Linked DNA regions of Mus musculus. The protein of the gene in region 4 interacts with the protein of the main gene of each other region in a pairwise test. Links are inferred from orthologs where the notes say so. Each region holds a gene or a part of one and is shown on either strand. Other genes may lie near its edges. The genes, in order: Wdyhv1, Syt16, Nudt18, Rabac1, Ric8a, Spg21 and Dusp12.

Region 1 (4,152 bases), on a different chromosome or scaffold from region 4:
AGAAGGCCATTGCTGTCCACACACAACTGCAAGCAGGCTTCCCCAAGTTCTGGTGTCTGTCCAGAGCTGACTCCACTGGAGGGCAGGATGATCACACAACTAGCTCTGGTCCCTTCTAGAAACTGCAGGGATCCTCTTTCCCTTGCAATCTCTTTCCATCCTTCTACTGAGAAAGCTTAACTTCACACTCACTTTGTACTAACCAAGAGAGGCTTCATGACTGCCACTCCCTGCCTCCCAGCCTCTGTTGAAGGGAGTATTCAAGCTGAAACAATAAATTGGTAACAGACACAAACACATGTTTAGTTTGTAGGATTTATGGGTTTTGGACAGCAGCTGAAGTTCACCAGAATACCACCAGCACAGCACTTTATGGGGTTGGGGTCTCAGAAGGCTGAGAGTCTGTGGGTGGCCTATAATCTAATCTTAAGAAGTCCAGCGTTTGCAGGGAGGTTCTCTGAGCACTTAAGGCACACACAGGAGACTGGGATGTCTATAGAGACAGTTCTCTATGTCTTTAATTCACTATGCATAAACACTGTTTTAGCAATTTGGTGTCTTCTCTTTTGAAAATAAATATGATTAACACAAAATGCTATCCAGACTCTTTAAATCTTTTTTTTTTTAAAAGAAAAATTCTTTTGTAGTCTAGGATCACCTTGCATTAGAAGCAATCCTCCTGCTTCAGTCTCCTGCATGCAAGGACTTTAGGTGTCTGTCACCACACCTGGTTAAAACTTTTTTTCTTTAAAATACACACACACACACGGAGAGGGAGAGAGATCCAGATGAGAAGAAATTAAATTACAATATGGTGAGATCTGGGTGCACTGCACTAACACCCCCCCCCCCCCCCCCCGTTCGCCTTTCTTTCTCAGTTCCTGCTCTAAAGGTTCAGCTTTCGTGCGTGCCCAAGCATCTCTTAGTTTAGAGTTTCTTCTGGTTTCACACAGCGGGCAACCTTAGCTGGAGTTTTAAGTGTATCCGGAAGCTCATATCTAAACACTGGCAACAACACAAGCAATCCCTCCATGGGAGGGCGACTAGGTCTACGCAGCGTAGCTCAAGAACAGGTTCGGTTTGGGGTCCGGGTGGTGGGGGGGGCGGGGCGAGAGGGAAGCCTCTAAGTGCATCCCGCTCTGCCACAGGCTCCACCCACCACGCAAAACCTGGCAAGAACTACACAGTTCAAGTCATCCTAAGATTCGCATTCCCAGCCCCCTCTCCACCAGCCTCGCCCCACCCCCACCCCCCTCAGATCCCACTCATTCTCTCAGGCCCCGCCCACCCGGAACCACGCAGGCTTCGTCATCCCGGGCTCCGCCCTCACGCTGCACGGGGCCCCGCCCACCCGGCTCTCGGCTCTCCCACCCGGAAACTGTCCTGGCCGCCTACTCTGTTGTCCTCTCCTCCTGGGAGACTGGCGACAATTGCGGCCAGCGGGTTGTTTAGTTGACCTGTGAGCCACAGCTTCGGGTCATGGAGGGGGACGGCCCCGCCGCCACGGCCCCGCAGTACCAGCCGGTCTGTCCTACGCGGGACGCATGTGTCTACAACAGCTGCTATTGGTGAGAGAGCGCGGGCGCGGACCCCGGGAATCTGCGCGGTTTCGCGCGCCGCCACCAATGCGCCCCTCTCCTGGATGCTCCCCTGAGTGCTGCTGCTGGCCTACACTGCCCGGGTTTAGCGCCGGGATGAGGAGGGTGGGGAACGCATTTCTGGTCTCCTTAGCTGAGCCTGAGCAGTGGGGTGAAGTCGGGGCGTCTTAGTGCATAGGGACAAGGGAGGGAGGGGAGTTAGGCTGGAGACCCAATGGTAACTGTTGAAGTCTGCATTGATTCAGGTTGAAGTATACGTCTTTATAATTTTAAAGACAATGGAGACACAGAATTTGTGGTAGTAGGAAATCCAGTTCAGGCAACTGGCTACCCTGATTACCTTACTGGCATTACCTTACTGGCCATATGATAATGGTTGCATTTGCACCATCCTTGCCATATGCTAGGCATTGTTTTGCGTGCATGGTGTAAATTAACTCAGTTGAACCTCACAGTAATCCCAAGAGGTAGGTACTGGTGTGATTGCAGCTTGGAAGAACTCTGAGGTACTGAAGGGTGTGCTGCTGTTTTACACAAGGCCCCGGGATTGTGAGGTTAGTGTCCTAGGCTGCTTGTGCAAACACCGTTCACCTTGCCTTTTTTGTCCCTAGGCCTCATCTTCCTTTTGTGTAGGGACTGCTATCCCAACTCAGGAGAAACCTCAGGATCATTTAAATAGACTCCTCTCAACTCTAGCTGGTCACTCAAACAAGGACTCTAAGAACTTAGCATTCAGCTGTGACTGACCAGTGACCACTTTAGCTCAAGTCCAAGTGCTTGCCCTGGTTCTCAATCTTCCAGGGCTGTGACCCTTTAATACAGATCTTCTTGTTGTGGTGACCCACAGCTGTAAAAACTTCGTTGCTATTTCACAACTAATTTTGCTACTGTTAAGAATCGTAGTGTAAATATCTGATATTCAACGCCATGACCCACAGATTGAGAACAGGGGGTGGTAGAGCGATGTCTTGGAGACAGGTTCTGTGGTAATTATTGACACTACAAAGGCTGAACTATAGAATGGTTGTGGTTTGTCCCAGACCACACAACTAAGTGGAATGAGATCTGGAGTCTACATGGTGGTTGGGAGTCCTTCTTTTTTAGCTGTTGCATTATAGATCTGCTCCGCCTGGTTTCCAAATCCTGCTAGTTTTTATCTGGAACATTTACTCTGTGTCTTCCATTTATTTAGTAAATATTTCGTAGGGATGTGAAATGTATGTTGGTTGATTCTATGCACAGAGGATAGAGCAGTAAACAAGGTAGATAAATTTCCTGGCAGTGCCAAGGACTGGCCTCAGCTGGGACCGGGTTTCTGAAAGAAGGGGTGTTTGGGAGCAGTGAAAACTACTTGAAGTCAAATTGTTGGTCCATGCTGGTGGTCTATGTTCCGCTGATGTGGCTTTCTAGACTGCTCTCTCTGTGTCTGCTTGAGACAGCTTTTTCTTGCTATTCTGAAAACTTTTTGGTTGAAACAGCTAGCTTTCTGCTCAAGACAGCTCTCTCTGCTATTAAAAGTTCTAAAAGCTCTTTGGATAGCTCATGGGTTTGCTGACCAAGTCAGAAATCCTGTTAGAAATACTCAAAAAGTAATTCTTGGGTTTTCTGATCAAAATCAGAAAGCCAGAAAAAAAATTCTAAAAGAGCTGTGTTCACTCTTCTGCCAGCTTTTTCTGTTTAGCTGCTAGGAGACATGCTAACAGAGCTGTGTCAGTAAATCTTATTAGAGAAAATTCTAAAAGAGCTAAGAAAAGATCTGAAAGAGCTGTGGTCGCCCTCCTTACATTGTCCCACCATGTTCCAAATCCTGTTAGAAAAAAATTCTTAGCCGGGCTTGGTGGCGCACGCCTTTGATCCCTGCACTTGGGAGGCAGAGGCAGGCGGATTTCTGAGTTCAAGGCCAGCCTGGTCTACAGAGTTCCAGGACAGCCAGGGCTACTGAGAGAAACCCTGGGAGGGTGTGGGGGAGGGCGGGAAGAAAGAAAGAAAAAAGAAAATTCTTGAAGAGCTGTTCTCAACCTCCAGGTTCCCCTTTGATTATCCTATGAATCCTGTGACCCCAGGCCCTTAATTCTTAGGAGACTACAAGCAGATTTTCTCCCCCTTTTTTTAGCATTGTAAAAGAATTCAGAGATCTGGCTGCTTTTGTAAATTTAGCTAGTTGGGACCTTGTCCGGAGATTACCATTCTGACCACTCCTGGACCTAAATTTGATCTGTTCCAGGCTTGAACTCAGAAATCTGTGTCATATAGAGTAGCTGCCTCTTGTCTATTTAGATCTGTGAAACTCCTTATACAATTCATATTGCATCCTTATGTTTTTGCATAGTTGAGAAATTATATATTTTCAAACTCATGTATTTAGAGCTCTTTCCCACAGCCTTAAGGGCTGTCCTGAGGGTCACAGTATTTACCATTTTGCTGAGACATTAGCCACACCTTCGTTTTCTGGACTCATGCTGTCTCAGATTCTCATGGAGTCATTGATGTTAACTGGGAGGAGGGCATTCCTCTGAGGAGTGTGAAAAAATGTCCATAATTATACAAGCAAGCA
Region 2 (3,977 bases), on a different chromosome or scaffold from region 4:
AAAATGAAAGCCGCAGCCAGCAGAATGTGGATGCGGTTCACCCTCATCGTGCTGACTCCCTCACCTACATCCTGTGGACTGATCAGAGAGGACCCTTTTGTTGTTTTCCGGTATTTTCCTTTGCCCACCTGGTCAGACGGCAACTGTTTCTGATTCTGCTTTGCACCTGAATTCTGTTGGTGCCCAGCGATGCCTGAGATGACGCCCACTGGCATCCTTACTGTTTGGGTTAAATGAGTGGCCTCAAGCCGACCAAAGGCATCGTGCCTGCACAAACAACAACGAAAAACAAAAACCCAATGCCTTCCCGTGCTTAGGCTTTGAGTTTGAGCCACTTGATGCTTCCCCATGTGGTGGTGGTTTCTCATTTGCTACTGGTCCCTAAATATAGCAAGGATCTTTCAGTAATTGGTTTATAGCATTCAACAAGATGTACTGCGAACAAACGCCCACAGGTGGACTCATTTCAAAGTCCTTTTAACCGCGATGGTCCTTGAGGCAATACTGATTGCTTTTCTCGTGGAGCTGGTCCTTTAATACAAGTCATCGGAGCCGCCTGTGGTCTGGCTCGCAATTATCCACTCGTTAGTCACCCATCCTGTTCACATCTAATTAGTTAATTGGCCATTTATTCACTAACTCATTAATTCACGCAGGTTTCCAGTTAGAGTCCTCCATTAAGTCGCTTAATAGAGATCTGATAGCCTACTACACACAAGGCTCTATTTTCACCTTGGAGACAAAACAAGAGGATGAGAGGAGTCTTGGTCCTCACACACAGGAGGCACCTGTGTGATCCTTGCTTCTCTCTCCCCCACCTGCTCCCTGCTTTGCTCCTTTGAGCTAGGGCTCAGGGTCGACATTGCTGGAAAGAAGCACCAGGCCCGGATGAATTGAAAAAAGCAAGGCAGGATACCAAGTGTTTGTTCAGCGGGAGAATAGAGCGGGCAAGAAACCTGGAGAGGAGCGGGCCAGGTTGCTAGCTGCTTTGTCTTAGGGAGGGATGATGCTACGGGCTGGGCAGGGCAGGTTCGGTGGCGGTCGGCTCCGCTAGGGTGTGGGGACGCTGGCGGGGGCGACCCAGCTGGCAGCCACCACGGGGCTCGGGGCGGCGCGACGGGGGCGCGCGGCGGGAGCGTCTGTGCGCGTCGCGGCCCTCGAGCGCGCGGGGCCTGTCGAGAACGCGCGCGGCCGGGCGCGGCGTGGGTACCCCAGCCGCGGGCGGCCGCCCTGCAACCCCCCGACGCGACCATGGCGACTGACAGTAAGTGCGGGGTTCCCCGGGGGCGGGGGCAAGGCATCCGGGGTGGCAAGTTCTCCTCCCGCGCGCGCCTGCCTTTGTGCCCAGCTCGCGGGGGCAGCGACCGGGTACCCCATCTCCGGAGCCCGCCCTTGTTACCGTGCCCATCACCTGCTATGGCTGACAGGACTGGATAGGGTTGGGGATCCGAGGACCTCTCAGGAGGGATGCAGCACCCGACTGGAGGGGACACTTGATGCTTGAAGGCAGCAGGGCTGGGCCTCGCAGCCCTTTGGGGACTGCCTCCAGGCCCACAGCCAGTTTTTAGGGAGCCCAGTATTGGGGCGCTGTGAGTTCAAGGTTTTCCTGGAGTTCTGGGTCAGATTGGCACGCCCTCTTCCTGGTGGGTGGCCCCACTGGGCTCTGTTCTGGGGCTCTGAAGCCACAGACCTTGCCTGGCTGCCATGGAGAGTGAATGAAAGGGGCGTGCAGAGAAGGAAGGTTGACACCGAAGACTGGAAGAGTTGCAAGGCTTCAGGCTGGCCTGCTGTTGGCATCTTGGAGTCTTTGCTGCTGTTTTTGGAAATTAGGGTTACCGCTAAGAAAACTGGTTACATGTAGCTGTAGCTTGACCTGTTAGTGGAACCTCAAAAGGAGTGCAGAGTAAAATAAGTCACAACACTTGTCTTAGACTTAGCATCTAAAGTCCTCAGCAAAAGTCATGGCACACAGTAGGGACTTCATTCACTGAATGTACCATGTGATTACAGACAATAATAAGGCAATTTTGAGAGATGAGAGGGGACAAAATAGGTGTTGAGGGTCAAAATTTCATTATTTTTTCCTTCAAACTTATCATTATTCAGTCAAGAACACAGCTTGCATACAGTACAGAGGATGCACAGTTTCGAGTTAAAAGCTATGATGACATTTTTATATCCCAAGTCCCTCAGTAGTGGGATTGTGGCCCTGTTCCCAACCTTAAAACTGTGGCTGTTGGATTTAAAGGCTCAAGTCAGTAATCCCAGGACTTGAGCGGCTGAGGCAGGAGGATATCAAGTTACAAACCCTGTTTCAAAAAAAGTATATGTATGTGTAGATTATGTGTATACACATGCGTAGTGAGCCTGCCATACCCGGGAAAGTGATGGGTATCTATCTCATAAGTAGTAGGCATGCAAGAGAAATGGACATGTGTGTGGTTGCTCACTCATCTCCCATTCGCCATCATTTCGTTTGTGTGGCGACACCAATGGACCCTCTCTGCTTTCTGTAGATCAGGGGGTGGCACAAAATTAACTACTAGAGACAACCCTTTTTGCTCTCAGCTCTGCTTCTATGGACAAAAGTATACACATTAGGTAGGTCTAGGGGGAAGAAGCTATACATTTAGATTTTTATTAACAAAGAAACAATTGCACTTGCCCTTATTTGTGTAAATGGTAACTAAAGAGTTCCAGCGATACAGAATTTCTATCTTCAGTTCTTCAGGTAAGGGGATGTCAGGTGAGAGGCAGGGGGACGGGGAACACCATCACACAGTGAGGAGATGGCCTCACTAAGATGCATCAAACCTGGGTACAATCTGCCTCGATGTTGCCTGATTGCTTTTGTTTCGGGGTTCTCGCCTCCTTACATTTCTCCTTGAGGGAAAACCCAGCTGTAAAGCCAGGCAGAGGGCAGCCTGTTGTGCTCTGTCGTTCTTGGAAGGGATCCCAAGGAAGCTTCTCTGTGATTATAGCTTGTGAGTATAGGTAGGACACAGAGGTATTTATATATATATTTGTCTGGAAAACAGTCTTTACACACAAAAAGGATGAGAACTCGGAGAGACTGTCCTGTGTCCAGACGCAAAGTCATAGATTGAAGGGCAGTTTCAAGAGAAGTTGGGATACTCAGTTGGTTTCCAGTAAGTTATTATGAAATGGTTACGCGCCTAGGTGTGCGTTGTAAATGGTGCTACTCAGAGGTATTTTGAGCTATGTTTGAGGTAATGGGTAATTTTGTTCCAAGTAGTTTCTATTTGTCTTTCCTGTGTGGCATTTGTTGCATTATCAATACTTTTTATCAAGGATCTTCACTTTTGAATCACTGTTGCCTGGTTGTTTTGAAGGTGCCTTTTTATATGTGCATGCTCATGAGTGCACATGGGGGGTGTGTGTCTATAATCTATCTTTAAGCATGCATTTTCTCAAGGGGCTGGAGAGATTGCACTTCAACTAAGTGTGTATTCTGCTCTTCTCAAGGATCCAAGTTTAACTTCCAGCATACATTTTGGGTGGCTCACAGTCACCTGTAACTCCAACTCCAGGGGTTTCAACACCCTTGTCTGGTCTCTGAGGGTCTCTGAAAATACCCCCTCATAAACACACAGACACATATAATTTTCAAAAATAAATCTTTAAAAAAGAAAAACATTCAAGACACATTGTATGAAAGTCTTGAGTAAATAGAATATTACTAAAAAAAAAAAAAAAGAAATAAAAAGAGTAAACTCTCCAGGACAGCAGGCATGCTTTGAGTGGTTGGAGATAGCTAACTGAAGTGTGCCCCCAGAAGTCTCGGGCAATCCTTGGGCTGCTGGATCTCCAGAGGTGTTGCAGTAAGTATTCTGTATCTTAAGGAGTTTCTCTGGATTGCTTGGGTTGTTCCTGGTCCATTGCATGGATGCTCATGAGTCACCGTTGCCTGGTCCATTTAGAAGCCGATTGCTGCTAACCCACAGGCAGGCAGTCTC
Region 3 (4,004 bases), on a different chromosome or scaffold from region 4:
ACTATGGCTTTGAGACCCTACCTGGAGAACAGGTGGGCTGCCTGGTGACGGTGTTCAGATAGTGCATGGCTTCTCCCAAGCTCTCTTGGCTTCTCAACAAGTATGGAAAAGGAGGGCTGTTACAGACCTACTGTACAGATGAGGACATTGAGGCCACCCAGGGCACAGAGCACGTCAGTCAGCAGAGGCTGGATGTCTGGCTTTTAAACTCCAGAGCTTTGTCAGTACCATCAAGCCACTGTCCCCCAAAGGAGGTACACAGAGCCAGCAGTGGGGGAGGAAAGGGAAGTCTGGGATGGGGTGAGGAGCCCAGACTTGGCCTGCTTTGTGGATTCCTCTCAGCTGGCCCTGCCTTCCTGTCCTGAGTGGAGGTTAAAGAAGCTCAGAGGAAGAAAGGTCAGGCTGGGAGAGAAGCAGGAGCTGGCCAAAACAACCCACACCCTGTTCCTCATGACCAGGCCCTGGACGCTGGGTAGGAGGGCACCACCCCTGCCCTCTAAAGATGGAGTCTGTTTCAGAAGCCTGGGAAAAGCATTGGGCACAGGATCGGATGCAGGCTACAGTGCTGACTTCAATCTCCCTTTCATTCATCCCCCCCCCCCTTAGCTTCTTCTCATCCCCAGCCTTGTCCCACCTTGACCACCTGTCCCATCCCTCCTCTGAGGCTTGTCAATCACGTTCCCCATCCCCCACCCCACCCCCAAACCAATCCTTTAGCCTCGGACTCTTAAAATGCCCTGTGTCCATCGACCTAGACAGATCAGAATTTCTAACGCAACGTTATGTGCCTGAGCCATACCACATTCAGAGCATTTTAACGAAGTCAGAAAGTTATTTGGGGCCTATTCGTCGTGAGCACTTCTGTGGTTCGTTTATGATAAAAGCTGGACAGTGGGAGCGAACGGCGGAGTCTGGGCTTCCGTAATGTCATCGGACGAGTGACGCCATCGACCCTGGTCACAGTGGTGTTCATCACCCTACAGGCAGGATGACATCACCGTCGGAACCCGCGCGGACAAGTGCGTGCTGGGTGAATTAGCTAATCGCTAGGGAGAGTGTGAAGTGAGGCTGAAACCCAGGAGAGGAGGGGGCAGAGGGAGGATCCCGGCGCCCCGCCCTCCCGATAACCGCTGCGAGCTGGCCAATCCGGGCAGGCCGCAGTGACGCGCAGCCTATCAGCGACCAGGTCTCTCCCGGAGGTTCCGTGTTAGTCTTGGCCCTCAAGTCAGGGGAGGGGGCGAGGGCGCCGCGGCCCACCGCAGCTCAGGTCCCGGCCGCTTGCCTCCGGGGGTCTGGCAGGTCCCGGCTTGCCACCTCCCCGGAGACTTGATGGCCACGGAGGGCCTGGCAGGGGCGCTTGCCACCGTGCTGGGGGGAAAGGGGTTGCTGGTGCAGAGCTGTGACTCGGAGCCGGCTGGGAAGCCGCTGTTTCCCGTGCGGCTGCGGAAGAATGTCTGCTACGTGGTGCTGGCCGTGTTCCTCAACGAGCAGGTGAGCGTCCGACCGGCCGCTGGCCTTCGGCTGGTCTCGGGAGCGTGCCGCCTGCCCTGATCTGAACAGGCGAGCCAACGGCCGCTGCCTGTATGTGGCGCTTCCCAATGTTGCAAAGCACTCTCAACACTAGCAGCTGAGCTGAGATCGTCCTTCTGTAGACTCTATAATATGGAAGGAGAAGCCGAGGTCCCGGGGCGGTTTATCTCATCCACTAGACCTCGCCCCCCACCAGGAGAGGCCTGTAATATGCCCCCTTCCTTTCCAGGAGTCTAGACTCTCCCGGCGCCTCGGGAGAGTAATGGGGAGCTTACATGCAGGCCTCCGATCCTGTGAGAGTTCTTTTTAGTGATCACTTCTGCACAAGTCAGCGTTATAAAATCCTGGCCAAGAAGGGGTAGGTTGGTATAGGGGTGGAGCTAAGTTTCAAAGCCTCAGACCCTAGATTGAGGACTTGACACAGGCGGTTTGTAAGTCCCATGGGAACAAGAGCAAGACAGTGGCATAAATGAGTCAGTATAGGAGTGGTGGCAACCTTCAGGAGGAAGCCTCCTAGAGCAACGCCCAAGGTCCTCAGCCCCTTTCTACAACAGAAGTCCCTCTGGGTTTGAGTTACAGCAAAGCGGAGACAGCCACTGCTTTCAGCCATATCAGGGCCTGACTCCTGAGGATCCAGCATCCTAAAGGTGTCTGTCTACCAAGAAGGGAGCTTTGGGCTGCCATCCAGGTAGGGGCTACTCTTCTGAAGCCCCCAGACTGGCTGGGTAGGAGTGAAGATTGTCTCACTTCCCTCCCTCCCAGGATGAGGTGTTGATGATACAGGAGGCCAAGAGGGAATGCCGGGGGACATGGTACCTCCCTGCAGGAAGAATGGAACCAGGAGAAACCATCGTGGAGGCCATGCAGCGGGAGGTGAAGGAGGAGGCAGGGCTGCTCTGTGAGCCAGTGACACTGCTGTCCGTGGAGGAGAGGGGCGCCTCCTGGATCCGCTTTGTGTTCCTCGCTCGACCAACAGGTATCCCCCACCTAGTGACATTTCTCACGGTCCCTCATCCATAGCCAGCCATACTGTGGGCTTCTGCTTATGGCCATTGACCTACTACGGGCTAAGAGCTTTTGGGGGTCTCTCTCTCTCTGGAGTGTTGGGGTGGCCATTTACTCTCTCAGGCTCAACCCTTCTCATACTGGCCCTCTTCCCACCCCACCCCCCAAATCTCTCCTAGGCGGAGTTCTCAAGACTTCCAAAGATGCTGATTCTGAGTCCCTCCAGGCCGGCTGGTACCCACGGGTCTCCCTGCCCACACCGCTTAGAGCCCATGATGTTCTGCACCTGGTAGAGCTAGGCGCCAAATTCTGCCAACAAGCCATGCACCCTCTCATTCTGCCTCAAGAGCTCCCCTGCAGTGTGGTCTGCCAACGGCTGGTGACCACCTTCACAACAGTCCAGTCGGTGTGGGTGTTGGTGGGCACGGTGGGGACACCTCACTTGCCCATCACTGCCTGTGGCTTTACCCCTATGGAACAAAGGGGCGGCATCAAGGTGGCCATCTTGAGGCTCCTACAGGAGTGTCTGACTCTGCACAGTTTGGCAGTGGAGACCAAGGGGTTGCTTGGGTTGCAACACCTAGGCAGAGACCATGTGGATGGTGTCTGCCTGAATGTGCTGGTGACCGTGGCTTTTCGGAACCCAGGAATCCAAGACGAGCCCCCAAAGATTCGGGGTGAAAACTACTTTTGGTGGAAGGTATTAGAGGAAGATTTACAAAAACTGCTTCTGTACAGACTCCAGGAATCTTCTGTGATCCCCCTGAGCAGATAGAGAGATTCCAGCAGGGACCAAAAGCTGAGCTGCCCCCTCCCTCTGAGGCAGAGAAAAGGCTGGCAGTCAGGGATCTCATTGCACATTTTGAGGGGGCAGGGACCACACATTGAGCCCAAAGGGAGGGTGTCTTGAATCCACTTTTCAAGGGCTCAGTTCTGAGGGCACACAGTACTTGTCTTTTAAGTTGGTGAGGAACTTTTTGAACCCTAAATGGCACCATCTTTGTCCACTTTGGAAAAGGCTGCATGTCAATCCTTCCAACCCCATAGGAATGTAGAGAGGGATGGGACATGGGGGACGCATCCCTCAGGGCAGAGTCCTCATTGCTGAGTAAAAAGGTATTGCTTAACCTGCCTGCTTGCCTAAATGTCTGTGTGGGGAGGATATGGGGCACTGTCCCACCCACAGTCACCCAGGTCTTTCCTCACCGTGTACACACTGATGCTATGCAGGGATGTAAGGATCCTGAGGCAGACATCGATGCTCGCTGAAGCCTCGACCCACCCAGGCTCTTTTTAGTGTTCCTGTCCTGTCAGGGCGGGCGTGGGACTTTGAAGTGACCACACCCCTAATAAAAGCACAGCTCAGACCTGTCCAGGTGTTGAACGGTTCGGTCTGGTGAAACTGCCTAGGGAACAAGAAAGAGCTGAGGATGACACGTTGGCCTCTGCCAGTCTTTTTCTCTTTGAGC
Region 4 (4,277 bases):
GTTCCATCTGCAGCTCCTCGCCATCTGCAGGCTCCATCTGGTGGAAGGCAGCGTGGGAGCCTATGAGTACCAGCGTGGCTCCTGTAGGGGGATGGGTGGTTCAGGCTGTGCTCTTTCGCCTGGCTCCCAGCCTCACCCTACACAGACCCTGTACTCACCCAGGACCCAGAAGACAGCAGAGCCAGCACCGGCCAGCCAGAAGAAGGGGAAAGAGACGCCACCAGCCAGGGCATACTGATGTGCTGGGCTCACCTCCCGGCCTGGGAACAGATGGTGTAAGGTAGCCGTTCCCACCCGACCCTTTCCCACAAGTGTCCAGGGTCACTTTCCACCCATCTAGTGTCACAGACTCTGGAACCTTCCATGTAATAATACAGACTCCTCACATCAGTGTCTCCCATACCTGGCCCCTACCCTGCCTCCCCAAAGCCCCCTGTCCCCATAACAACCTTCCTCTGCCCCACCTCTGCTGTCTAGCTTCACCTCTCCCAGGAGCCCTCAGGTCACTTCAGACTAGGGCCTGATGTTCCACCCTGGTCACCGGGAGTCTCAGGCTGGTGGCTCCACAGTCAAATCTGACCTAAGGATTTTTGTCCCCTTTTTTCCTTTGTTAAGATTTATTTCTTTGAATTGTGTGTATATGCCCTGCACGCATACGTGCCCAAGATCAGGTGCCCATGAGGAGGTGGCCATGGGCACCCACCTGACTTGGGTGCTTGGAACCAAACCAAGAACAGTACTCAACTGAGTACTCAACTGCTGAACCATCTCTCTAGGCACTTATTTTGATTTTTTTTTTTTTTTGACAGGGTTTCTCTGTGTAGCCCTGGCTGTCCTGGAACTCACTTTGTAGACCAGGCTGGCCTCAAACTCAGAAATCCGCCTGCCTCTGCCTCCCGAGTGCTGGGATCAAAGGCATGCGCCACCACCGCCCGGCTAGGCTTATCCTGAACTTGTAGCAATCCTCCTGTTTTAGCTTCCCAAGTGCTGGGATTAGAGGCACAGGCCAGCTTCTGGTTTTAAGGATGTGTTCTTTGATGCACCTTGCGAGAATTTGGTTTGTGGGGGCTGGAGAAGGTGACTCAGGAGTTAAAAGCACGTATTCTTCCAGAGGGCCCGCATTACACATTTTTTAAGGCTAGGGCATAGCAACACACTCTTTAAACCCTAGTACATATATATTAATTTCCTCCACCCCCGCCCCACGCTCTCCTATGCCTGAAAAGTGTGTATGTCCTAGTGACCACTACCTGCAGAAGCCAAGTTCTGACCTGCTTCAGTCTATTTCTTTGCCACAGCCTATCTTTGTTTGGTCCTTAAGCTTGCTGGGCTATGAAAGACTTATTTTAAGTCTCCTCGGAAACTTTTGGATTCCCCTCATTGGGTCTTCCCTGACACCTTTCTTTCCAGTGGTCCTGGTGACAGTCTGGGGCCACCGGACTTACAGATCTCAGCCTTCCCCTCTGAGAATCATCAGGGCCAAGACTTGGGAAGGAACACGGATCTAGGCCTGCATGAGGTCGCCACCTGGTGTGCAGTGTGGGTATCTGCAGCTGATGCGTTCCGTGGGGGGGGGGGGGGGGGGTTGAGTGGAATTGGATTAAGTCATTTACAAGAGACAGAGGTGCCAGGGCTTTGGGGTCTCTCTGGGTTTGGGAAGCTGAGACTGGAGGGGAGCACCTGGTGGGTCTAAGCCCTTAAAGACCAAGTTAAGTGACTCTAGTGGACAGCTCGGTGGGGGCCGTCTTGGGTCCCAACTATTCGGAAGTTTGCATTCCGTGAGACCACGATCAGAAAGGCCCGAGGAGCCATTTGGGCAGGAGATTTCTTACCAAAGAGTACAAGCTTAGACTGCAACGTGCGCAGATAGAGAATGTAACAGGCGCCAAAGAAGACAGCCAGAGCCACCAGCAGCATGGGAGATGTCACCCTGGAAGAGTGTGGGAGACAGGAGTTAGGTATCCGAGGCTGCGTCAGCCAGGCCCCTCTAGCTTTGGACACAGACTGAGGTTACGTCCTTCTAGGCCAGCGAAGGCCACATCCTGGTCAGGTGAATGCAGGAGTACAGACTGACCGGGTCCTGTAGTGACAAAGTGGGCTAACTGGTCTGGGCGGGGCCTGGCAGCCGGGGGCGGGGTCTGACTATCGAGGGCGGGGCCGCAGAGGCACTCACACGCAGTACAGGATGAGGCCGAGAAACACGAACACGTAGTTGCTTTGATAATACTCCACGTTGCGTACCAGGCGCTGGCAAAGCTCTCCCACATTGCGGGGTCGCGAGAAACGTTGCTGGTCCACGAAGGTGCCCCAGGGCCGGATGGTCGCCCGGCGCCGCTCCAGCCACTCTCGGCCTGCGCCGGATGGAATCAGCTTGGGCAGCAGGGTCCTAATGGGCAGGGCAGAGCAGAGCAGCTGAAGGGAGGGAGAGGGTAGAATCTGGACCCCAGATTCTAGCACACCTGGTCCCAAGCATGACCTTGAACCCCTAGGAGGAAGGGTCCTGAGAGGGAGCCAACAGGACTGAGTCCCTCCCAGGACCTCTGAGGAGATGAGGGACTCCTGCATCTCGGATCTGGGGGTAACACCCTGCTTGCTCACGTGGCGCTCAGCCCTTCCCCTTCGGCATCCTTCTGCTGGTCCTTCTGGGCCGCCATGTCTGCACTGCAGTGGATAGAACCGCTGTAAATAGCCCGGAGCCCAGCAGCACCTAGGCGGCCCCACCCCAGCCGGGACTCTTTGGAAGTGGCGTCGTTGGGAGCTCTAGAGGGCGGTAGTTGTTCCTCCAAGCATTGTGGGTGTTGTAGTCATCGTGGCGTCAAGAGGCAGGTTTGCCTCGCAAGACATCTTGGGAGATGTATGCTAAGAGCTCGTCGGGAGCCTCTAGGCATTGTGGGAATTGTAGTTTCAGGAGGCTCAGCGTGGACTACAGCAGGTGGACTGTCAGGACAGAGGATTTTGTGGGAGTTCGAATGGCAGAAACGTACTTCCGTGGACCGTGCAGAGCTGTCGTTCTGGCTCGAGAGAGCTTAATAAAACATTGTTCGAAAACTCAGATATTCTGATTCTAACTGGGCAAGTCTGGGAAAGAGTTCATTTACTTTTTCTTTCCTAAAAGTATTTACTTTGAAAGTGAGACAGGAGAGATGGCTTACTTGTTTCTCTTTCAAAGGATCATAGCTTGGTTCCCAGCATCCACACCCAGTGCTTCACAACTGCCCGAAACTCCAGCTCTAGCCAATCAGACATACTCATGTGCACATACCCACACTCAGATACACATGATTTAAAAATAAATGTTTGCATTTTAAAAGAAAAGATTTACTTTTATATGTTTATGCGTGTGTGCCACCAGAAGAGGGTTTTAGAGCTCCTGGAACTGGAGTTACAGGCAATTATGAGCTGTCTAGAAATCATGGGTGCTGGGAACGGAACTCCTCCGGGTTGGGATTTCAGTATGGGCCACTCAGCAGGAAATTGTGTCTGGGTTTCCCACTTGGGGTCCAGCATTGCTTCAGATCAGTGGAGGACTGCAAATGTACAGTTAGCCTAAAGACTAAAGAGGGACACCACAAGGCCAGAGTACTGGAAAAGACAGAGAACCTTGGAAACCAGTTTGGCGGCAAAAGTCAGCTGGGTTTGACTGCTATGGGAACCAATTCAGTTTCTTTAAGAGGACTAAGCAAATTCTTTCTATTTCATGACCCTCAAGTCTCTGCTGCCCTGGTGGGAGTCGGGGCTTCGGGAGAAGGCAGTGGAGAAGGCAGTGGGATCCAGAGGCAACACTGTTGCAGAAAGTGGCAAACTAATTCAAAGAATGTAAGAAATTTGAATACTGGGATTTTTAGGATAGGTGTCTGGAAGCTGGGAAAGGAGTCCTTTGGGACAGTGGAAGCGAGGACCCTGAGGTAGAGATGTGATGAGGCAGGGGGTACTTTCAGGTTCCTGAGGGAGGAGGCTCACGTTAGATGGGTTTTGAGTCAGTAGGTAGTAGGAGACATCCGAGAAGGCTGTGGGAGATGGGACTTGGCTCTGAGCTCTTTCCTGTGCTTCCCAGAGCAAGTGGCACTGGGAAAAAGCCAGAAGATATTAACAGGAACTCGAGACCTTGATCATAATGCCGGCTGCATGACTTCAAGGGGCCTCCCCCACTTCTGTCCTGTGCTGAGTCCCTCTGTCAAAGCGGATGCTCCTTCCTGGTGCTAGGTGATTGAAGCAGAGTATGTGGGTGTCCCAGGAGAGGTCTTGGCCCATGCAACTCCTCCCTCCCAGGATCGTCT
Region 5 (4,138 bases), about 120 Mb from region 4:
CGGCTTGGGTTCCAAGGCAGCGCCAGGCGAAATCCGGCCCTGTTTTTCCAGGGATACGTAAGCGCCACCCCACGCAGGTCCTTCCACCGAGAAACGAGCGATGTCTCCAGCTCCAGACTTAGACTTCCCCTCCTACCTCTACTGCCTTTCAAGTGCTCTCACCTCGAGTCCAATCTGCCATCGCGCCCTCCAGGGTCCCACTCAGGGAATTCGCAGCACAGCAACGGACGTGGCACCAGTACCCGGGTCTTCCGGTTCCGCCTCCGGGCTAATAACTTCCGGGAGAAGGTTCTGAAGCGGAAGAAACAGACCTGGAGTGCTTCTCGGGAATGTAAATAAGGGAAGGGCGGGCCACCAGCATTCGGACCCACGGATTGGTCAGCAATATTAGTCCTGCGCTGTGGGTGTTACTCGGAGCAGGTGTTCAGACCCAAATTTGGAGCAGAGGCTAGGAACCAGCTCAGTAAATCAGTCGGATGCCTCTGGCGCTGCTAAATCCAACTGGATGGGGAGGACAGGCAGACCCGAAAGAGACTGGTGAAGGAGACGGCCGGGGCCTGCCACTGAGTAGGGGCAGAGCCGGTTAGCACGGCGGGTGACATCATCCACTGGAGCACTGTTTGTATGTGTCACTGTGGGGCACCGACTCAGCTAAGTGGCGTGCGGACCTGGCTCCCCGCTACACAGCGCTCCTACGCTTCTAACCTCAGACACGCCTCGGCTGGCCGCCCCTCCGTTGCTCCTCTCGCGGGAGTGGCTTTTCCACGGGTGTTCTTCACTTCCTTCTCTGCAATTTTCTTGAGAATAACCGTATTACTTTGGTGGCTATTCTTTTTAGATAGGTCTGCTAGTTTCTGCCTCTCGAGTGCTGGGATTTAAGAAGGCGTGCGTCACTATGCCCGGCTAACCACGTGCATTATTTTGACCATCCAAGTCGTTGTACTTCTCTTTCCCTATTCCCTATGGAAGATGAGCTCCAAGGCCTGGATCGCGAGAATCGTCTTCCCCAACTGATTAAGCGGCCAGGAGCCGGCGCTCCCTTTTTTATCACAGTACGGGGACAAGAGCGTAAAGAGGACGGTCCACGCGCGGGCCAAGCCACACCCCACTCCCCACCCTCCCATCCCACCCCACCCCCCGCCTGCCAGGAACTCGGGCTAGAGAGGAGGGCTCAAAAGGAGGACACTGCCTGGCTGGTTAGCTAGCATCGCCGCTCCAAGACTAGCCGCTCAGCGACCACAGCCGGGTTGCTCCACCTTAAGTCGGAGGCGCCTGTACACACCCTTGGGTTCGGCTGCTCTCCCAGCATCCCTCACGCGTGGACGCCGGGCTTCCGGACCTGGGCGGAGCCCCGGGGTTTGGCCGATTGCGTCTTCCCAGCCCAAGCCTTCCAGCACCCGGTGCCAGGGGCCATGGAGCCCCGGGCAGTTGCGGATGCCTTGGAGACCGGAGAGGAAGATGCGGTGACAGAAGCTCTGCGGTCGTTCAACCGGGAGGTGAGAGGCATCCGGCTGCCGAGGAAATTTCAGGAAGAGAGGAAGCAGGGGTGTGCGCGCAACTCGGCTGGGGTGTGCGTGCGAGTGGTGGCAGGGAGCACGGCGGTGGGTGGTGGGCTGGTCCCTCGGGTGGCTCTGTGGTGGCGTGTGGTGGGGCAGGTGTATGGGAGGCTAGGGTGGGCCTTGCCTTAAGGTTCAGAGCGATGGATGCTGCTTCAGAGGTCTGCTCTGACTCGAGGAGCACGGGTCCTACCTGCATGTGGATCTGAGCCTCCTGGGTCTCCCTGCAGCATTCTCAGAGCTTCACCTTCGATGATGCCCAGCAGGAGGACAGGAAGGTAGGTGTCAGCCCCAAGGGCTCCTAGGGCAGGCACGGGCTGACCCCAAGAAGAGGGCCTAGTGGAACCACTTTTGTTCGACCCCACAGAGACTCGCAAAGCTACTGGTCTCCGTCCTGGAGCAGGGCTTGTCACCAAAGCACCGTGTCACCTGGCTGCAGACTATCCGAATCCTATCCCGAGACCGCAGCTGCCTGGACTCATTTGCCAGCCGCCAGAGCTTACATGCACTAGCCTGCTATGCTGACATTACCGTCTCAGAGGAACCCATCCCACAGTCCCCAGACATGGATGTCCTCCTCGAGTCTCTCAAATGCCTGTGTAATCTTGTGCTCAGCAGTCCAACAGCACAGATGCTAGCAGCAGAGGCTCGCCTGGTGGTGAGGCTAGCGGAGCGTGTGGGACTGTACCGCAAGAGGAGCTATCCCCACGAAGTCCAGTTCTTTGACTTGAGGCTCCTTTTCCTGCTAACAGCCCTTCGCACGGATGTGCGCCAGCAACTGTTTCAGGAGCTGCACGGTGTACGCCTGCTGACTGATGCGCTGGAACTAACACTGGGCGTGGCCCCCAAAGAAAACCCTCCGGTGATGCTTCCAGCCCAAGAGACGGAGAGGGCCATGGAGATCCTCAAAGTGCTCTTTAATATCACCTTTGACTCTGTCAAGAGGGAAGTTGATGAGGTAGGTTGGAAGTCTTGGCTGAGACTCAGTTCGGGTGGGACAGTTTGCTTCCCTTTGTACCTCAGCTTGCAGGGTATCAGATATGGCGAGGACTAGAGGATGGTGTAGGCGGGAACTCAGGGAAGGTGCCTGAGCCGCACTGTGCATGGGGTTGCAGGTGGGTATTCTCCACAGTGCTTCAGGTGGCCAAAAGCACCACATGTGCTGTGCACAGCGTCTAGGGATCAACTCCATGTGGCCACAAGAACAGGGGTTCGATCTCACAGGAGCCCCTTTCTGTCTTTGGTTAGGAAGATGCTGCCCTTTACCGGTACCTGGGGACTCTTCTGCGGCACTGCGTGATGGTTGAAGCTGCTGGGGACCGCACAGAGGAGTTCCACGGGTGAGGGGTAGGGCTCACAATGTTGGGGACGGCAAGAGTTCCTAGGTATGGGTACAGAAGTCCTTAACCCTAGTTGTGAATCAGAAGCACTTGGGGGCCCAGGCCCCACCTTTGACTTCATCAGGGGAATGGGGCACCAGTGTTGTTTCCAGAGAGCCTAGGTAACTCAGGTATGGCTAAGAGAAGAGCTATGAACTTAGAGACAGGGCCTTAGGCGGAGGCAGTATGGTCTCTTGCTGGTGCCTCTGCTCATCTCAGGTTCGAGAGATTGTTTGGCATCTCAGCTCAGACATAATGGCCCAGATAGCGTCTGCAGAATCTCCCCACCAAATTTGAGTTGGGGTACCACCTGCCCTTGCCTATAGTCTATTGCTTTCAGTGCAACCCTTCGAGCCCATCCATGTGTACCCCAGGAGAAGGGCCAGGGAGTGTATCTGTGCTAAATATAATTACTGTGTCGAGGCCTCTGTGTGTCTGTCCCCAGCCACACGGTGAATCTCCTGGGGAACTTGCCCCTCAAGTGTTTGGATGTGCTTCTGGCCCTGGAGCTCCACGAAGGATCCTTAGAGTTCATGGGAGTTAACATGGATGTGATCAGTGCCCTCCTCGCCTTCCTAGAGAAACGTCTGCACCAGGTAGGACTGGGGGCCTGCTACGTGGACACCCAGGGGCTCGGGCACCTGTTGTGACTGCTGTTTCTGAACCATTGGTACTGGCGAGTAGAACTCAGCTTGACGATATATCGTGGACAGTTGCTCTGACTGCTCTGTGGTGCAGCTAGACGGTGGCCGCTCAGTCAGGCCCTCGCAGAAGCCTGCAGATACACTGTGTGTGTGAGCCCTCCTGCTGCTGATTACCAGAGGAGAGCAAGCTTCTCGGGTCCCAAGGTGAAAGGTAGCCCTTAGGTCTCTGTGGCTCTGCTAAGTGGTTCTCAGAAGCCTTTAGTTCCCGCTTCCAACCGTCAGGCTCCTCGTGTTTCTATACATGGGCAGCCAGAGGCGACATTGTCCCTCTGCATTTTTTTGGTTTTGTTTTGTTTTGTTTTGTTTTCAAGACAGGGTTTCTCTGTGTAACTCTGGCTGTCCTGGAACTCACTCTGTAGACCAGGCTGGCCTCAGACTCACAGAGATCTGTCTGCCTCTGTCCCCTGAGTGCTGGGATTAAAGATGTGTACCGATACCACCGTCACCCCACCCCCACCCCCCAGCTGTCCCTCTGCATCTTAAAGAGGCATAACCACAA
Region 6 (4,102 bases), on a different chromosome or scaffold from region 4:
ATGAACTAACCAGTACCCCCAGAGCTCGTGTCTCTAGCTGCATATGTAGCAGAGAATGGCCTAGTCCGCCATCAATGGGAGGAGAGGACCTAGGTCTTTCGAAGAGTCTATGCCCCAGTATAGGGAAATTTCAGGGCCAGGAAGTAGGAGTGGGTGGGTTGGGGAGCAGGGGGAGGGTATAGGTGATTTTTGGAGAGGGGATAGCATTTAAAATGTAAATAAAGAAAACATCTAATTAAAAAACAAAAAAAAAAACTAAGCCATTTAAACCATTTTTAGCACATCTTTCACCATTTAAAACTGCTTTATTTGATAGCTTCATACATTTATGTAGTACATTTTAGTTAATTTAACTCTCCTGTCTCCCTTTAAGTTATTACTTTAAAATAAAAGCAACTAGCGGCATATACAGTTAATCCTGGAATATTTTATATCAGGACAGACTTGAAATACCACCACAGCATCTGTGCACTTCCAACTGGAAACATTTTCTAGAATGTCTGCAGGAGGGAATATTAAAGACAGGCTAAACAGCCAGGTGTGATGGCACACATCTTTAATCCTAGCCCTCAGGGGCGGACAGCTAGCTCTCTGGGAGTTCAAGGCCATCCTGGTCTACATAGTGAGTTCCAGGCCAGCCAGAGCTATGCAGTAATAGTAAGACCCTGTCTCAAACACACAAAGCTAAAACATCAATCAACTTGTTAAAGTTTACTTCTAGGATCGACCAACTTACAAAAAAAAAAAAAATTATCCACAGTTTTAATAAGATGCCACTCACAAACCAAACTAGGTACAAGCACACAGGCAGGCACACAAATGAGCTACCTACTTCTTTCCCACAGTGGCCGAAGGGTAGTCCTTACCGGGTCTTCAGTATAACTCACAAGCAGCTCAGTACTGACCACATTGTAACTAATCTTGATGCATAAGAGTTCCTACACAGCTGTGAGGACACTTTTGCAAGGACAGGTGATTCTAACACTTGTGCTGGTTGGGTGGTGAGGAAAGGTGAGACAGTTACCAAATGTTGCCAAATGTTGCGTAGGACCAGCTGACGGCTAGGAAGAAAAAAAAAAAAAAAAACCTGCTGCAAAGCTAAAGCAGCTGTGAAGGGTATGAAAAGGAAAGTTTGTTCTAGCTCTCTTTCATCCACTTAAGCCGGATGCTTTTCCAAGTCACAAGAGAAACATTCTTAAAAAAAAAAAAAAAAAAAAAAAAAAAAAAAAATCTGTGGCCCAGAAAGTTAGCTGAGACTGTGACCAAACTGGTCAGGATGAAAAGAAACATGGGCAGTGTGTTCAGGACAGATTTGCTTTCTCGTGACTCTGTTCTTTACAAAAAACAGAAGCACCTGTTCAGGCTGGTGAGGAAAGAGGCAGAGATAAGCTTTATCAAGGAAACCCCTCCTCCCGCTGGCCAGGATGCTAAGGCTCCCCAGCTCTTCTTGGACCTTGCGTTGCTGGACAGTAAGTTGGCTAGTTGTGAGAGAGCATGTACTTGGCCTTCAGAGTTTCAACAGAACCTGCAGTTCATAGCTGAGGAAATCGCCTCTACAAATGTTTAACACACGGTCAGTCACATATTGCTGGTCCTTTATCTCAATGTATAGGTGTCTTATATAGGGACAATCTGTGGTTGTTAATACAACCAATTAAAAAGGTTATTAGAACTAGAGAGCCTCTAGGTGACATAACTATGGTTCTCGGTGTTGGGGAACGCTCACCATGGGCTTTTACCACTGAACTACACCTAAGGCCCTGCGGCGGGCTGTTCACTACACATCTTCATCCTTCACCACACCTATATGTATTAAATAGCCATCTTTTTGGAGATTTCTTCAGGTAAGATTTATCCTTTCTCCAGGAACCTATCCACTTCTCTCTAAATATCATGAGAGGAGACGCTGCCCGCACATCTTTCTCTCTGACCACTCGTTTCAAGGTTCTGGTGTAAAATCTTTTTGAAAACTCATACACAGCTATTAGACGGCTTCCCAATGTGCAGAATCCTTGCAAAAAGAGAAGCTAGACCACTGCAGATGGAGACAAAACAACATCAGCCCCTAACTTCTAACTCCCTGGGAAAAGAAGAAAAAAGGGGGGGGGGGTTTCTCTCGCCCTGCTACACTCTTCATGACTCTTTCACAGGCCTCACACCTAGTCTGAGGTAGGATCTTTAAAACAACTCTACTCGCAGCCCTTAAAAGTTGACTGAAACCAAAATGCTCCTGAATTTCTGCCCCAGGATGGGTGGCTCAAGAAAATGAGGATGTCTGACTAAGGATTTTGGGCACCAATCGCCATAGGGGCCGCCCTGGGTTCCACCAGTTCAGAAACAACAACAATCCGCAATGAACCGAGGCTGAACCTTAGACAGACCCACAGGCACAATCGGACACACACAGGCGCCCGCGAGAGCGCACCACACGCACACACAGAGATATGGATCACGTGCATGGTCACAAGGACCTGCCCACTCGTGAACTCTGCTCGTAAGTCACGCATGCTCGATACACGCCCACCTACAACCCTACACGCACCACACACCCACACTCTTGCTTTCCAGGGCCTGCCCCTCACCTGCCGTGGCCGCTCCCGCGTCCCTTTCTTTCCAGCCTAGACGGATCTTCGCCCCGATTTGGGCGCAGAGGATGGAGTCGGCGGGGCGCGGACTGGACCGGCGGCCGCAGATCAGGAGCCCCGCGGGAGCAGCGGGCAGAGGGGGCGCGCGGCCGAGCAGCCAGAGGCCACCGCCTCCCAGCTTTGGTACTGCGAGCTCCCCGGGCGCGCCTCCCGCTTCCGGGTTCCGAGGAGGCGGGACCAGATGGCGAGGAAGGGGCGGGGCTCTGGTGGTTACTATGGCGACGGGGCTGGCAAGGGAGGCCCTGTTCTGAGATTTGCGGTGTCCTAGAGGCTGTGGAGGCTGGTGGTGGATAAGGGTCAGTTCTTGGTCACTTCTGACAGGAGCATGGAGGAGGAAGTGAAAAATCTAGGCTGTAGGCCCCGGGGATGTGCTTCTGACTTCGGTTTTTAGGCGTCTTCATGCTTTGGTGGGGAGACACTTTTGGTCCATAGCTTTGGTGAATAGGCCTTGACATAGTCTTTTTAAAACATTAGTATATATCAGTTCATTACAATGGCTTAATTAGGACATTTTGATACCTATATAAAGAATTTGGATCATCACCCTCCCTTAGTCTCTGCCTCCCATGTCCCATTCCCCTTCAGCCTCCCAACTGCATATGCTTTCTCAGCAAAATTGTTTTTACCTTTTGTATAGACGCTGTCCTCTGACCTCCTTTCAAAGCCTTGTCTCCTTTTATGGCTTTGTGCTGATGTTGAGGGGGTATACTCAGCGCTGGTTTGCCCTCTTCTGTCAGGCACAGTCTAGTCACTGTTCTTACGAGAGATGTGGCAGATGCCACAACACCTTTCAGTTAGCTTACAGCTTTGCTCTGAAATAATGCATAATAATATTGAGTGACCTGTCAATCTTGTTTGAAAATTTGTAAGGTTCCTAAAGCAAGATCCTAATGTTTTAGGGACTTTTAAAAATATTTTTTATTATTATTACTTTTAATCGTGTGTGTGTTTGTGGGAGAGAGAATATATGGTGCACATGAGTGTAGTTTATAAGGAGGGCAGAGGAGGATCCTAGAGCTGGCATTACAAGTGTTTGTGAGTTGCCTAACACGGGTGTAAAAGTAATATGTATTCTTAACCTCTGAGCAATCTCTCAGCCCCCACGTGTGTGTGTGTGTGTGTGCGTGTCCCTGTGCCTGTGCATGTACGTGTGCGTGTGTGTGTGTGCGTGTGCCTGTACGTGTGTGTGTGCGTGTGTGTGTGTGTGTGTGTACGTGTGTGTGTTGATGCCTGCTGAGGCCAGCTTTGGACCCCCTGGAGCTGGAACTGCAGATGATTAAGATGGATCAAGCCTGACTGGGTACTAGGAACTCAGCTTTGGTCCTCTGGAAGAGCAGTAAGTTTGTTAACCACCAAACCATCTCTCCAGGCCTAGAGAGCACAGACGAAAACAATGACTCAAAAAAACAAAAACAAAACCACAAAACAACCAAACACTGATCTATGGCTCAGGAGTC
Region 7 (3,955 bases), on a different chromosome or scaffold from region 4:
AACTATATACTACATAGATATGTTATATTTATATGACTATATATATACGTATGGGTGTGAATGTATGTTTATATGTTTCCAAAGAGAAAGAGACTTCAGTTCCAGGAGACAAGTGGAATTTCTGACTCTTACTGTTTCCTTGGAGGGAGGCAAGCTCCACAATAGGTGACCTATCCAGGCTGGCCTCCAAGCCAAGAGTCATAAGGCAGAAGTACACTATATAAAAGTAGAGTTATAAATCAATGTTATCTGGAGACTGGGGGCAAGGGGGTAGTGCTGACCTAGTCAGGCTCACAGGTGCTGATGGGAGAAAGAGGCCTGTAAGAGAGTAAGGTCACAACTGACATCTGTCAACTTCCTGCCCCAGAGAGCTGCAGGGGGCTGAGGGATGACCTGATTTCTGGGAGAAAGAATCAGAGCCTGTGATCTATCAGGTTGGGCTTAGTAGCTAACCACACTTTTTGACCGTTCTGTGTACATTTAAAAAAAAAAAAATGTAGTGGCTACAGGACAAATCCAAGGTCCAAGGTCCTTTGCTCTTAACGTTGGAGTCTCTCCAGATCTCAGTATTCGTGCTTTTGCTTCTCTCTCTCCCCACTCACCCTAGGGCAAGACAGAGAGGTTAGAAGACCTCTTCTTCAATCCTAAGCACAAACTCCAGAAGTCGTAAGTAGCTTATGTGTAATAACACCAGCACTAGGAGGCAGATGCAGGAGGACCGCAAGCTTAAGAGACTGTCTGGACTACACAGCAAACCTTCCATCTCAAAAACAAAAACAACAAAAATATGGAGAGAAAAATATCACTCTAACTTTCCTCCACCTTACTAAGAACCCGCCACAAAGGCATTCTCTTAAGATTAGGGCTATGCCGCCACAGTAACAGAATGTTTGCCTAACATGCTAGCAAGACAAATCAATTCTCGGATCTATTTAGTCTGATATATCCTAAGACAATAATTCCAGAAAGGGCTTTGCCTATACACCAGAAGAAACAGCTCAATACAGGTCAGGCTGACTTTCCTGGCTCATTCGCTAAGCATTATGTCACACTCCTCTTGTCCAACCTCTTTTTTTTTTCTTTCTTTATTTTTTATTTTATTTCATTTTTGGTTTTTTGGTTTGTTTTTGTTTCCGAGGCAGGGTTTCTCTGTATAGCCCTGGCTGTCCTGGAACTCACTTTGTAGACCAGGCTGGCCTCGAACTCAGAAGTCCGCCTGCCTCTGCCTCTGCCTCCCCAGTGCTGGGATTAAAGGCGTGCGCCACCACCGCCCAGCCTCAATCACTTTTCTATACAACTGTCCAGTCTTAATTATTCCAAGAATGTGAACCGTTTTTGTCTTAGTCAGGGTTTCTATTCCTGCACAAACATCATGACCAAGAAGCAAGTTGGGGAGGAAAGGGTTTATTCAGCTTACACTTCCATGCTGCTGTTCATCACCAAGGAAGTCGGGACTGGAACCCAAGCAGGTCAGGAAGCAGGAGCTGATGCAGAGGCCATGGAGGGATGTTCCTTACTGGCTTGCTTTCCCTGGCTTGCTTTCTTATAGAACCCAAGACTACCAGCCCAGGTGGGTGGGACCTTGATCACTAATTGAGAAAATGCCCCACAGCTGGATCTCATGGAGGCACTTCCCCAACTGAAGCTCCTTTCTCTGTGATAACTCCAGCCTGTATCAAGTTGACTCACAAAACCAGTCAGTACAGTTTTCCTTTGGTCCGTGAATGTTTCTCTAAACTTGCCCGTCACGTATAACTTTGATTAAAAATCCTCCAGCATGGTTTCACACTCAAGGTGTGCAGCCCTCTGGACAGAAGCAGGTGGACATCTGTGCTTTTTGAAGCCAGCCTGCTCTACATAGCGAGTTCCAGGCCTGCCAGATCTATACAGTAAGACCCAGTCTCAAAAAACAAAAAGTCACATGTTTTTCCCTTGTTAATCACAGTGGCCTTTAGGGCGAGGAAGTATCACGTATTTTCACCCCAATACATCTGACCTGTATTACATTCGCCGGCTTGAGTGTCTGACTTCTCTTACAAATCTGATAAACTTTAACCTAACCCCCAAAATATAGACAAGCAGATAGAACGATGGACGAATGGACGGATAGATGGATGCACAGACAGACAGACAGTTGCTGCAAGATGAAATCAAACAAAACACTAACCAAGGGCGGGTTTTGGAACCCTCATTGGAACCACACACCCCAAGGGAAGATGAGGAACGAGGGTCTTGGCTCTGACAGCCTGGAACCTCCACTTTTGGGCGCCTCTGCAGAGAGGCGAGACCCGGTGCAAGGCACCGCCCCCCTGCACGTGGCACTCACCAGTGCACCAACACCGCGCGGCCTTCGGAGCGAGCCTGGCCGATGAAGGCCACGCAGCGATCCAGGTGGCTGAGCAGGTCGGTCTCGGGTTTGTCCAGCGCCGGCACGAAGAGGCTCCGGAGACCTTCGAACCCAGCCCCAGCCGGGAAAGCCGGTTCAGAGTCCACCGTCAGCACGGCGGTGATGCCCGCCTCCCTCAGATGGCCCGGTTCCGCCACTGCCGCTGCCCCACCCAGATACAGCCCGGGCCGCACTTCCACGGCGTGCCCTGCCGAGCTGGCGGGACTGGCAGTCGGAGCCTGGCGCTCGCAGCCATGGTTAGAACCCTGCGCTTCCAACATGGCAGAGCCAGGAAGCCAGGCAGCCGCTGCCCGCCACCAAGTCACCGGCTAGAGTGACTGACTCCTGTGTCGGAATAGCTCCAGCCGCTCAGCAGCGCCGTGGGAGGACCATGGCAATAGGGAAAATGACTGCTTCTGGGGAAGGTGATGTGAGCCGTGCTCGGGCTGTGTGCTTAAATAAGCTCCATTTAGAGCAGCTTTTCCACCCAACCTTCTAAAGTCCAAGGCAGAAAAATAAAGTCTCCATTCATCCGTTGCTGGTAGGACCACAAACTTGTACAGTCACTATGGAAATCAGCTTGGAGGTTCCTCAGGAAAATGGGAATCTATCTCAAGATCCAGCAAAGCCACTCTTCCTACCATTTGAGACATTTGCCCAACCATGTTGCCTATTGATGCCTCATAATAGCCAGAAATTGGAAACAACCTAGATGTACAACAGAAGACTGAATAAAGAAAATGTGGTACATTCACACAATAAGGTATTACTCAGCCATTTTAAAAAAAAAAAATAAAATTTGCAGATAAATGGATGAAACTCGGGAAAAAAAAATCATTCTGAGTGAGGTAACCCAGACCCTGAAAGACAAATCTGGTATGTATAAGCTTATATGTGGATATTAGCTGTGATAACTGATGTGTTAAAATAGAGGCTCGAGTCTGAACACAGTACACTGGGCCCAAACAGTTCCACGTGTAAGAATTTTATTGGGGGATGGGAGGGAGGTGGCGGCAGAAAGAGAAGTGAGGGAGGGAGGGAGAGGGAGAGATGGGGGCAGCTCTGGAGTGGGATGTTCTTCTTGAGGCTTTTGGGGTAGAGAGGGAAGAGCTTAGGCGGAGGGTAGGACTTTGTTGAGATATTTAGGGATGCTGTATAATAAAGCGTTTACTTATCTAAGCCTAAGTTACCGTGCTGTTGTAGCTGATCTGCCTTCTGTGATCCTCTGAGGCCAGAAACTACAGTTTCTGGCAACTAGCACCTCTTCTTCAAGCCACAAGAGAGATAGATAGATATGTCTATCTCAGCAGGAACTGCTGGGCTCTAACTTTCAGCCTGCTAGTCCGGTCTCAGGAAGAGAAGACACTTAGATAAATAATTATAGAGTTTATTACCAAGTTGTAAAAAGTTTCCTATGAAAGCTATCTAAGGGGAAAAGCAGAAAGATCCTGAGTGGGTAAAGGGAAAAATTCTCTAAGTGGGGAAAGGGAAAAGAATCTAGTCTAAGTGGGGAAAGGCAAAAAAGTCTCCTCTATTGATCTTAGCTCTCCATTGATCTTAGTTCTCTAT

What was found.
Region 1: the proteins of Rabac1 (region 4) and Wdyhv1 interact in binary tests that used the Homo sapiens proteins (3 or more experiments, as listed by UniProt). The two-hybrid records come from large-scale screens. The link is inferred for Mus musculus from reciprocal best matches to the Homo sapiens genes RABAC1 and NTAQ1.
Region 2: the proteins of Rabac1 (region 4) and Syt16 interact in binary tests that used the Homo sapiens proteins (3 or more experiments, as listed by UniProt). The link is inferred for Mus musculus from reciprocal best matches to the Homo sapiens genes RABAC1 and SYT16.
Region 3: the proteins of Rabac1 (region 4) and Nudt18 interact in binary tests that used the Homo sapiens proteins (3 or more experiments, as listed by UniProt). The two-hybrid records come from large-scale screens. The link is inferred for Mus musculus from reciprocal best matches to the Homo sapiens genes RABAC1 and NUDT18.
Region 5: the proteins of Rabac1 (region 4) and Ric8a interact in binary tests that used the Homo sapiens proteins (3 or more experiments, as listed by UniProt). The link is inferred for Mus musculus from reciprocal best matches to the Homo sapiens genes RABAC1 and RIC8A.
Region 6: the proteins of Rabac1 (region 4) and Spg21 interact in binary tests that used the Homo sapiens proteins (3 or more experiments, as listed by UniProt). The two-hybrid records come from large-scale screens. The link is inferred for Mus musculus from reciprocal best matches to the Homo sapiens genes RABAC1 and SPG21.
Region 7: the proteins of Rabac1 (region 4) and Dusp12 interact in binary tests that used the Homo sapiens proteins (3 or more experiments, as listed by UniProt). The two-hybrid records come from large-scale screens. The link is inferred for Mus musculus from reciprocal best matches to the Homo sapiens genes RABAC1 and DUSP12.

The regions. Positions count from the first base shown.
Region 1 is NC_000081.6:58,140,014-58,144,165, forward strand, and holds the start of Wdyhv1 (protein N-terminal glutamine amidohydrolase), read left to right. Parts: upstream 1-1,352; 5' UTR 1,353-1,479; coding exon 1,480-1,568; intron 1,569-3,194; exon of another isoform or gene 3,195-3,256; intron 3,257-4,152. UniProt on the Homo sapiens protein: Mediates the side-chain deamidation of N-terminal glutamine residues to glutamate, an important step in N-end rule pathway of protein degradation.
Region 2 is NC_000078.6:73,996,600-74,000,576, forward strand, and holds the start of Syt16 (synaptotagmin-16), read left to right. Parts: upstream 1-1,177; 5' UTR 1,178-1,251; coding exon of another isoform or gene 1,252-1,264; intron 1,265-3,977. UniProt on the Homo sapiens protein: May be involved in the trafficking and exocytosis of secretory vesicles in non-neuronal tissues. Is Ca(2+)-independent.
Region 3 is NC_000080.6:70,576,620-70,580,623, forward strand, and holds the start of Nudt18 (8-oxo-dGDP phosphatase NUDT18), read left to right. Parts: upstream 1-1,204; 5' UTR 1,205-1,329; coding exon 1,330-1,491; exon of another isoform or gene 1,492-1,888; intron 1,889-2,292; coding exon 2,293-2,506; intron 2,507-2,714; coding exon 2,715-3,310; 3' UTR 3,311-4,004. UniProt on the Homo sapiens protein: Mediates the hydrolysis of oxidized nucleoside diphosphate derivatives. Hydrolyzes 8-oxo-7,8-dihydroguanine (8-oxo-Gua)-containing deoxyribo- and ribonucleoside diphosphates to the monophosphates. Hydrolyzes 8-oxo-dGDP and 8-oxo-GDP with the same efficiencies.
Region 4 is NC_000073.6:24,969,929-24,974,205, forward strand, and holds the start of Rabac1 (prenylated Rab acceptor protein 1), read right to left. Parts: upstream 2,801-4,277; 5' UTR 2,655-2,800; coding exon 2,599-2,654; intron 2,387-2,598; coding exon 2,174-2,386; intron 1,931-2,173; coding exon 1,833-1,930; intron 261-1,832; coding exon 159-260; intron 148-158; exon of another isoform or gene 82-147; coding exon 1-81. UniProt on the Homo sapiens protein: General Rab protein regulator required for vesicle formation from the Golgi complex. May control vesicle docking and fusion by mediating the action of Rab GTPases to the SNARE complexes.
Region 5 is NC_000073.6:140,856,059-140,860,196, forward strand, and holds the start of Ric8a (synembryn-A), read left to right. Parts: upstream 1-1,338; 5' UTR 1,339-1,412; coding exon 1,413-1,496; intron 1,497-1,786; coding exon 1,787-1,834; intron 1,835-1,923; coding exon 1,924-2,514; intron 2,515-2,804; coding exon 2,805-2,896; intron 2,897-3,380; coding exon 3,381-3,531; intron 3,532-4,138. Other genes in the region: Bet1l (BET1-like protein), read right to left, coding at 163-181.
Region 6 is NC_000075.6:65,459,635-65,463,736, reverse strand, and holds the start of Spg21 (maspardin), read right to left. Parts: upstream 2,801-4,102; 5' UTR 2,583-2,800; intron 1,037-2,582; exon of another isoform or gene 833-1,036; intron 1-832. UniProt on the Homo sapiens protein: May play a role as a negative regulatory factor in CD4-dependent T-cell activation.
Region 7 is NC_000067.6:170,882,741-170,886,695, forward strand, and holds the start of Dusp12 (dual specificity protein phosphatase 12), read right to left. Parts: upstream 2,801-3,955; 5' UTR 2,668-2,800; coding exon 2,327-2,667; intron 1-2,326. UniProt on the Homo sapiens protein: Dual specificity phosphatase; can dephosphorylate both phosphotyrosine and phosphoserine or phosphothreonine residues. Can dephosphorylate glucokinase (in vitro).